Linked DNA regions of Drosophila melanogaster. The protein of the gene in region 1 interacts with the protein of each later gene in a pairwise test. Each region holds a gene or a part of one and is shown on either strand. Other genes may lie near its edges.

Region 1 (5,529 bases):
AAAAATGTGCGGCCGCATGGAAAATTAATTGTAATTGTACATTAAAAGAGCAATAGCAAAATAATTCAGCAAAGATCCAAATTGCTCTGCCAACAAAGCAATTCCATTTGTACAAATTACTAGAAAGAGTAATGGAAAATGTTTAGCTTTACATATGCTCTAAATTACGAATGAGTACACACCAACTTATCACTGATGATTCATTTTGTTTAAAAGTGTCTGTAAATGTTACTCATCCGCCGTGGTGAACTCAAAGGAGCTTGAGTCATGCGTAGTCAACTTATCTATTTGCTATAAACACAAAGAATCCCCCAATTTTGGGAACTACTGGTTTACTGTTGACTTAAGAAGAAGTCCGACAATAAACACAAAATAACTATTCGCTACACGAGGACGACCGTCATTGAAAACTTTATCCAATCTTACAAACTATATAAAAAGTTACATCTTACACCTTAGTACCGACATAATCTGGATATAAAAGAAACATTAATTCTTTTGTTTTGTATCAAAAACTAATTGATTTATTTGCATTTTGTTAAAACTATGCAAATTTGAATATTTGGTTTACAAAATAATACTTTGAGTTCAAGTTGATGGTTTAAACAACCTGGGATTACAACGCACTTAAATCACCACACGTACGAGCGCTTATAAACTGATGGGTTGTTTCTGTGGGATGCAGTATGTGACATTTTCTAAATGTAGTGCGAGATTCGGCTGAAGATGAGCTAGCAAACTAGATGAATAGAGTAATTATTGTTTAACCTAATACAATTGTAGGATGAAGGCCTGACTAGATATAGATACATTTTATATTTATATATATATATATATATATATATATATGTATGTATGTATATATATGTGTATGTATGTATATATATGTATATGTATGTATAAAATGCAATTCGTACTGATCGGTAAGCGTTTGTAGAGTGCAGCCGCGTGCTCTTGGCGAAGCGATTGCATCTTTTGGCTTTGTGCAGTTTACTTTCATGGTTTTTGGCTACAAAAATACTCTTTACATACGGGCACATACACAATGTATAATTAGAGCCCCAAAATGGACCAAGCTACAGCCATGCACTTCGGGTGTGTGATTGTGTATGTATATGTATAAATATAATTTGGTTAATCTCATAGTAAAGCCACTTAGCGGCATCTTTCACCAGCGGTTCGTATAGAACTGATTGATGCCAAGCACATGCTTCTCCTCATGGTACTTTTGAAGGATATGTGTGATGACCGAGGTTGTGTCGTTGTCGCCACGCCACACGCGTATCGCATGTTCGTTTTCCAGGATGCCCAGAAATGCTGTAAACGTATGTGCAATTAGTTTCGATTTCAACTGTTGCTATCTTAATTAGATGGACATACCCAAAAAAGTCTTTGGATTGCTTAGGGTCATCTGGACTTGTGGCATTTCCAGGATCACCTTTAGGATGGGCGAATCGGGCGCCAAGCCTTCACGCAGTTCAATAACGCTACCCGATCGATTGTCGCACAACCATTCGCACGCGGACGCCTTGTTGTTGCCAGTTTTCTTCAGTGCCGCGAGCACTGCCGTCTCCTCGAAGCCCATTTCTGTAAGCGATTCCACAATCTCATCGCTGGGAGGGGAATCCCGGTGGCTGTAGATTCGTACAATCTCAATCAAGGCAGCAGTGTTTTCAATGGTTTCCTTTAAAAGAAAACGGTTGTCATTAAAAAGCGATAATCTAATTCCTACTTACATTATTGGTGACAATCGTGGAGGGTGAGATGGAAGATAGACTGTGCTGCATATTCATGCCCGGCGGTTCCTGTGGATTTTCCTCGTTTTGGTTCTGTATTAGCCACTCCATCGTGGTCGAGTAAATGCCATTGTGTGCTTTTAAGGCAAATGCGGCTAGCTCCCGCTTGAAGCCCATGTCCACGAGGCATTGCAGCGTATCCGCTTGCTGATTTCGGCGATTGATCAAACGTTGCTTTAGCATAGCTATCAGGCGTGGAGCATAAGGGCCAGCTCCTATAACCGCCGCAGAAGCTTGAGCCAAAGAGATCAACACCTTTCGCACATCGTATTGGATCTGGAAACGGAATAGGATTAGAATAATCAAAGGAGTAGCCAAGAATTGTACTCACATTCGACTGCTGAAAGATTTCATTAATATCGATGGTGGGCAGCTGGTTGCAATTGACGGGCACGTATCGGGTGGCGCTCTCCACCAGCTGCTCATTTGGGCCAGGAACCTCACGTATCCGTGAAACAGTCTGCGGCAGAGTATTGCGTCGTGGGGAGAGTATGAAAGTCTCATTGTTGCGAACTTTTAGCTGGGCCAGCGTGTCGCCCTCGTTAAGCTCGCCGCCGAAGTATTCCGCCCGATAGAGACGGTATCGCGGATTAAGATGCCGCACATCTGGGGCAAATAGCTGGATGGAGTCGGGATCGTCGCTCAGTTCCAGAATCACCTCACTCTTCAGCTCGTTTAGGCGCTTATTAACGTCCGTTTTGAAGATAAGAACCCGAGAGCTGGGGCAGATTACCCGCACCAGGATAGATTCACCTGGCCTGCTGGCATCGTCTGCCTCGCCAGAAGTAGAGCTACCTGGGCGATTTGTATGGGCTGATTTCCTAAGTGGATTCCGTTAAGAATGGACTTAATTAAAAGATTAGCATAATACCTAAGCATTACTAACCTGAGAAACAAACTGCGCAGTTTTTGCATAGTTTGTTTTAGTTGGATGGGTAGTGACAAACCAACGGAGAATTTCGAAAGACAAATATTTGTTTCGGGTGAGCACTTTGAAAAACATAAGCATATTCGTTCGGTTTGATAACTTACGCATTAGCCTGCTGTTGGTGAGTGGGCGTGGGCGAGTCCTGTGGCACCACCTTCTGATGCTCAGCACGTTCCTCTCGTCGCTGCAGCTGTAGCTCAAGGTGAATGCGACGTCGGCGAGCGGGCGATGGAGTCCTTAGGACGCAACTGCCCCCGCCCACAAGGGGCCGCGAATTGGAAGCGGATATCCCGCCATCCGTCTGCGTTTCAGATTCCGCCGTGTGGACATTCAACGAGGATCCGCTCAGGCTCTCCGCATCGCTGGCGTCTGTCCGCTGGCTGTGGCTATGACTGCTGCTCCGAGGGCTTTCGTCAGCCGGAGAACCACCGCTGCGCTTGCTACGCGCCAACCACTTGGCCCGTTTCTCGTTGAACTTCTCCCGCATCCAGGGTATCATCTTGGGTCTGCAGCTAGGTGTTTGTTACATTTTGCGGCACTTTTCGATGGCTATTTTGCATATTTCTCGCAAGTAAACAGAATCGATGCGTTATTGCAAAAAAAAAAAAAACGATTTTTATTTTTGTAAAGTCGATAGCAAGCAGCTGTTTGATGGTGCTGCCAGATAGGCCATATCCATGGGGAATACCCCTAATCTTTATAACGGCTATTTTGACATGAAAAACTATTTTAAAATATGTTATGTGGCTGAACTTTATAAATATATCGTGATATGTACATATATGAAGAAAACTATGTTATTCCTTATCGTTAGCCAATAACAATAACAGGAAAACATTGGGGTTAAATACTTTTGTTACTTTACTGCAATAAATAGTAGTTACCCGAATATAGTAATAGAATTAAAGAATTCATTTTCCAAAAACTATTAGTAATACAATCTAAGTGTCTTAATGGTAAATTGGTACCTGGTTAGACCCGTCATATAAAACCCAAACATACTTGAAATCCCAGTTTGAAATGGGTTTTCAAATTTCAGGTAAGAAAATTGGGTTTTGAATTTACCTACACCAAAGGTGCAAAAAGTGACATCTGTCGCAGATTTCAAATAAGCAGATGGCCAGATTAGGTCCCAACTGTAAAAGAACCAATAGTAAATCCTATGCCCTCAGCTTATTTTACTTAAGGCGGTATCGCTTGCAGATGACTCTCACTTTTATTACTTGCGAAACGAATCTGCTTGATAATGAAATAAAATGGTGCTCATACACATTATATTTAAAACCAATTTGCTAAAAATCATTTAAAAATTCTCACTAAAAATGTCCATTCACAATAGGCATACGTAAGCAGAGAGCATGGAAATCTTCCCATCCCTAGCTACTCCCATTGGCTCATCTCTATGCGCCGCAAGAAACGATAACGATTGCCACAAGCATCCAATCGATTGCCACACATTTTAATTATTGCTAGAACGCGCAGGGGCTTAAAAGTTAGTAAAATATGTTTGCCGCCCACTAAACGCCACAGCGTCGATCCCGTCGTGTTATCAGTGTGCCCCCGTCACCTCCGAAACGAAACAAAAGTGGGCGGAAAGCGTTTGTGTTTGCGTTTTGGCAAGTCGACTACTGGCATTTGTATATCGGTGTGTGCGTGTGCGTCACGTAGCATAAAACGCGAGAGTTTCTGTCCGTTAAGCAGCAGTGGAAGGTGGTGGAACGGGAACGGAAAAAGAAACGAAAAAAGAAATGTGAAGAGTGCGGCAAAAAAGCGAGGAAGACGAACGTGCGAAAAGAGTAAAAGCCGGAGCGACAACAGCACATGAATGGGATACACTCTCCTGCCAAAAGTTCTAACAAACAAACATACATACATACATATGCACCACTCACGAATGCAGCGGACAAACAGCACGACACGCCACACACACACACACCTTCAGATATTGTTTGAAGCGGCGGCACGGGAACAACAAAAACAGGCCAAGAATCTGAAGAATAAGCGCAGGTAAGCAAAAACAAGCAGAGAAAACTTTTCCCCTCGTGTGTGTATGTATACGGCGCGTGCCTGTTTGTGTGGGTGTGCGTGAGTGCGTGCGTGAGAGCACCGTTTACCTGTGTGGGAGGATTGTCGTTGGTGAGAGGGGGGTGGTGCAGGCGCATAAATATTCGCTTTCTTTGTTTATGTTTGTCATTGTCACAATTATTCTGCTACAAGCAACAGCTACGGCAACCCACTCCAACCGCTAATTTATTTGCCAATTTCTTTTACGCATTTGTTTATATGCCCGAAAGGCTATCCAGTGAACCAGTGTGCCCAGCTGCTTTGCGAAATTCATTGTTATGTTTTTTGTATATAACGGCGCTATCAGAAATATCTTATCGCACATTACAATTTGCATTTACTCAGCGCGAAAGTAAATTGTAATTGTCAATTAACTGTTTTGCTACACAGGAAGAAAAGGGTAATTTCAATTTAGTAGTAACTGTTGTATATATGTAGCCCTTATCACGTGATGAATGTGTATCCCACAAATATTTAGTTCAAATATTAGGTGATTCACTTTTTAAAAAACCGCGTCGTCATCAGTTTGGAAACGCCGTACAATAATTCTCACTTTAAGAAACCCTAATATTTCGCAATCCTTATGAGATTATCATAGTCCGAACAAACCTATTCAATTTCAATACGATCCGCTCTTCCTTAAGAATTTTAAAACCAAACCTTAGAGTAATGCTTTAGATGTCATACTAAATGTATTATTTTCTTTTCCAGCATTTTATTAAGCGCAGTTTCTTAAACAGA
Region 2 (5,197 bases), on another chromosome or scaffold:
CGGGGCTAGAAAACACTGGATGCTGAGTGCTTTGATTAGATGCATCCATTTAATCCCATTTGAAATGCATGGCATAAACTTACATTTCGTAGCCTAGATTCGGTGCTCCAACTTGCTGGCCTCACATATACGATACCATCTATTAGGCTCGCTTGGAGCCATTACATAAATTGGTTCATTGTAAAAACACACTTAACACAAAGCAATTTAAAAAGGCATGTTAATGCACGTCATGTGCCGACACTCGTACTATACTAGACTGTTATATGTACTGCAATAACATTTGAAATAGTAACCATACGGCTCAAGCTTGCATTGAGTTAAACTATTTTGCTGCAGATTGAACGATTTTAGCACCTAATAATAACGAGGCCTCATCTCGAATGATTGGCATGACATAGCGATAGCAGATTGCTAGTTGGCTGGTTCTTTAAGTACTGCCCTGGGCAACGCAGGGTGCAGCGCTCTGGCGCCGAAGTCTCAATTAAAAATCGATTTGGCTTAGAAGACATTTTTGGGAGGGATTACGATCGCGACGCGAGGCCGGTCGTGGTAACCGCTGATCGCCCAGCTCCCATCAAATCGGTTGATCGCCGGTTAAAAGTGGCTGGCTTGCCTTGACCAAGTACACTGCGAACGATGATAAGACGGAGCATGGCTCTGGCCAGGGAAGGTGAACAGGTAAACAGCACTCTGCCGTGGATGCAGACGGGTTTCTGCTAGCGCACGGGCATTTCACTTCGGCCAGCTTCTTTCCCCCATTGACAAATTCGATTGGTTCGGTTTTCTCTGGCTTTCTGCTGCTGCGCCCCGCAATGTAGCGGACTAATATTGGTTTGGTTTTTATTACCATGTGGTCTCTGCTCTGCTCCGCTCCGCTTGCATAATAAAACTCACGCACAAGGAGCGCGGCCAGCCATGGTCTGTATATAGCCGTTCAACGATCGAAGACCGTCGATGGGCCTCAATGAACTCGGGCTCCAGTGCTTCCCATCGCTGCCACTCGATCGCTCTGATCCCTCCGGACTTCAAGTGGACCGGCCGGGAAAATCCATTGGGTTTGCAAAACATGAGAGTTCTGTCTTATCTTACGATTACTGCTACAAATTTAAAGACGCAGTTAAACCTAGTTTCTCAATAGGGCCACACACAGGCCACAAACGTTGGGCTCATTTTGCGCTTGGCACGTTTTGCTCGAAATAATTAAAACGATTTTTGGTTATTTGTAACATTTGCCATTTGCACACAACGGTGTTTACCGCCTCGCCGCAAAAAAGGGAGGCTGAGGCTGCTTTTTTGTGTGTGACAACATTTGACACAATTTAACGCTGACGCGACACATTCGTCTGCGGTTTTAGTTTGCTTAGCTCAGCTCGAGCCGCATGCCTTATGCTTCACTTAAGTTGTTTTGGGATGGGTAAGGTACATAGGTGGAACTAGGGGTAGGGTTTGGCCAGGTGCTTCACATTTGGAGCGCATGCGCTTTGACTTTGCCATTTGCGCACACTCGCAGCATTGCGACACGGCAAACAACAAAGCCCCAAAGGAAACCGAACTAAAACAACCAAAAATATATAAACGAAAACTCAGAAAAATTACGAAGCCCATAACTCTTGACATGACACGGCCAAATGCTCGGGAGAATGGAGTGGGGCTCGGCTTGGAGCTATGGAACTATGGAGCTATGGAGCATCGCGCAAAAAGTGAATTGCTTTAATGCGCCGTGGATGTGCAAAATAAAATTGGTCAAATACCCAGGTCGCAGGCCAAATACCCTAATACCCTTAGGTGGCCTTAGCATACGTAGCTCTTGACTTATAGAACCAACTTCACTGACGAACCAACTGACAATGCTATGTCCGTTGGCTGGGGAGCCGCCAGTTACCATGATCAACCGACACAAAAAATATAGTTTAAAACAAGAAGTCCATGCCATTGTGGCCAAACTGCATATATCATTTCGTCACGTGGGTGCTAAGTGCTAAATTGTATCTCTATCTTTTAGAGATCTCCGCCAGCAAGGTGATAAGGCGTTGGCTGCGGCACCTGTCCGCTCCCGCTCTCTCCCCTTTCTTCGTTACCCTTTCTCCGCCACTGCTTTTACTTTATTCGGCCATTCACTTTCTCCGTATGTTGTTTGCTTTGCTAATTTTGGATTTGCCCGCGTCACTGCAGCAACAGCGAAAAGTGAAACAGACGTCCAGAAAAACGGACGCCAACTTGCGCTTGCAAGTTCGTATGCAAAATTTCAAGAAATTATCCAATCGCGTGGCTCGGATTATTCAATTTCAGTCAATCAAATTCAAGTCCAATTCCGTATGCAAAGTAGGCTATGCTGGTCCGAAAGCAGATCGAAGATCGAGACCGCCTGGCCTCCCCAGCCGATTTCGTCACCAGCTAGTGCTGATGTAGTCCCAGTTCTGGGGGCAGCCAGCCCAACTGAGAGGCAACGACATCGGCCATGCCGAGTTCGTTCGTTACCCAAGTCTTTCGATTATGACGTTGGGAGGAGCTGGAGTCCCCATCAAAGCGACGGGCTATAACGCTAAAACAGTCGACTGATTGCCGTCGTTAAAAATCCACAAAATTGACAGCAAACGGCAGGCGGATTTCTCCTGGCAGTTACCACATACATATGTACATACATTGTAAAATCAGGGGTTATATTTTCATTTGACTCGAAACCTTTGCAAGTTCCGAATAATCCTGCGTTCTCAACCAAGACAAACGGCAAGGAAAGTGGAGGAAGTGCAGATCTCAGGAAACTGCGGATTAGTGACTTATGTGACTTATATGATTCGAGATTGTAATTTGGTTTTATTGCATTTGATTTAGCTGTAATTTATGGATTTTATTTTATGGCGAATGCTAATGGCGCGAAAAGGAAACCAAAAGTAGGCGAAGGTCGCACTGCAGAGTTATTAATTAGTACAACTGAATTTAACTAGTAACTTACCAATTGAAGAACGTTTTTAATAGTTTGGAAATCACAAAACAAAAGAGACAAAAAAATAAGCGCAGGAGAAAACACGCACGTACACACAAACACACACACGTATACTTTTAAATGGCGAGTGTAAGTGAACATACGTTTCGAGCAATTTATTGGACTTCCATCCGTTTTCGGGTAACATTTCGATGCTACTCATTGCCACGACATGCACTTAATTATAACTAACACTTCAAACTGATTTGCAGCACTTTTTTCAAACAAAAGTCCCGTAAATCAAAAATCTTTACGCCGTAAAATAGTTGCTTCTTCTTTAAGAAGAAAAGGAAGAACAAGAAGAGAACTTTGAAATGAGCAGCTTCTTCTTCTTATTATTGATCCTCTTTTCCGTTATGTACAGCACACCCTCGCAAAAAGGCACAAGCTGACGATCTAATTTGGCAAAAGTATTGCAAATACAAATAAGTTAACATTCCAAAGTCAGAAATTAAATGGCAGCTATAAAGAATATAGGTATGAGAATATTACGTTTAAAGATTGTAATAATATTACAAAGATCAAATCTAATCAAATATCAAATATATGAACATTTGCGATGTAAGGTGCATGCCAAATATAAATTTGATAAAATCAACGTAGTTTTAGATTTTATTTAATATAATTTTTAAATATTTTCATTAATCTTAGCTGTTAATTTAATAGTAATAATATCAATTGATAATTCGATAGCCGATAGTCACAGTTGGCCGGCGATGATTGTATCGATAGTATCGAGTGCCAATCGATTGCTGTTACAGCTGTTCGCGCATATGTGTGGGTGGGATTTATTCATAGCAAGGAAAATTACGAGTTTTGCGGATATAGGATTTTACATAAGTTTGCCATGCACACGCACTAGCGCCACAAATCGAGATCGGATTGATCGATCCGGAACTCCGAATATCGGAAGCACAACAAAGAGGACGGCCGACTGCCCCATGTGTGCGTGCGCGAGTGTGTGAGTATGTGCGTGAGCGTGTGCGTGTGCGTGTGAATGAAAAACCATCAACTGTGAAAATATAACCAAAAATAAGTCCGAGGCACACGGTTGCAGGCGAGGATTACCAGTCCTCCCAGATAAGCCCCGGAGGAGCAGCAGGTTCCCTCTTAGAGCCAATTCCGTCGCTTTTCAGAATGGCGGATGCCCAGGCAGCGGCGGCCGGAAAGAAGAAGTACAAGAACAAAAAGAACTCAGCGGAGAAGAACCCCAATCACAATCCAAATTCCAGTGGCCAGGTGGAGGCACAGACACCCAGCAATGGACACGTTCAGCACCAAGAGGAGGAGGCGACGGAAGACCAGGAGCCAGCGCAGGAACTCAGAGGCCTGCTTAAAAAGATGCACCTTTGCAATGGCCATGGTCACAAGGAGCAGGAGGCTCGGCCGCTTGGGGAGGTCGTCAATGGCCATGCACATGGGCACAGCAACAACAATCACATTCGCTGCACAAGCGGCAGCAGCAACAACAACAACAGCACTCACAACAACAACAGCGTGGACAGCAGCAACAACAACCGCAAGCAGCGAAGAGAAGGAGGCGACGGCGGAGGATCGGATTCGAACTCCCTCAAACCGGAGGAGAAGCCCATAACAGCCACAAGCAAAACCACTGCCAACATACACCCAACCACAACGACGGACCCAAAACCAAAAGTGTCGGAGGATGTAGCTGTGGAACAGGGAGTGCATGTGGCGACGGGGAGTGGCCACAGTCGGGAGCAGGAGAGGAAGCAACCGCCCTCCGACTATGCAGAGGGGGCCACGCCCACCATTACAGCACAGCTCCAACTGCCGGAACCTGCCATTTCAGCCGACGAGATCGTATATAAGGAATACGAGGCTGAACACCAAATGCATGTGAGTACCTCCAAGTATGACCAAGTGCGAACTGTGCGCAACACTTATCTAATTCCCCGCATATCGAACACGCAGGACATCATGCGACTGATCCAGGCGGAGCTGTCCGAGCCGTACTCGATATACACGTATCGCTACTTCATCTACAATTGGCCAAAACTCTGCTTCCTCGCCTCGCACGACAATCAGTACGTGGGCGCCATCGTGTGCAAGCTGGATATGCACATGAACGTGCGGCGCGGCTACATCGCCATGCTGGCCGTGCGCAAGGAGTATCGCAAGCTCAAAATCGGCACCACGCTGGTCACCAAGGCCATAGAGGTAGGATGTCTGGGGCATCTTTCCCTTGCA

Evidence for each region.
Region 2: the proteins of Kpc2 (region 1) and CG11409 interact in a two-hybrid assay, tested with the Drosophila melanogaster proteins (one large-scale study listed by BioGRID).

What each region holds. Positions count from the first base shown.
Region 1 is NT_033778.4:19,668,449-19,673,977, reverse strand, and holds Kpc2 (Kip1 ubiquitination-promoting complex subunit 2), read right to left. Parts: upstream 3,361-5,529; 5' UTR 3,224-3,360; coding exon 2,829-3,223; intron 2,816-2,828; exon of another isoform or gene 2,712-2,815; coding exon of another isoform or gene 2,695-2,711; coding exon 2,683-2,694; intron 2,618-2,682; coding exon 2,128-2,617; intron 2,073-2,127; coding exon 1,737-2,072; intron 1,685-1,736; coding exon 1,381-1,684; intron 1,318-1,380; coding exon 1,169-1,317; 3' UTR 501-1,168; downstream 1-500.
Region 2 is NC_004354.4:1,338,369-1,343,565, forward strand, and holds the start of CG11409 (uncharacterized protein), read right to left. Parts: upstream 3,220-5,197; 5' UTR 2,957-3,219; intron 1-2,956. Other genes in the region: Naa30A (N(alpha)-acetyltransferase 30 A), read left to right, coding at 4,124-4,846, 4,922-5,167.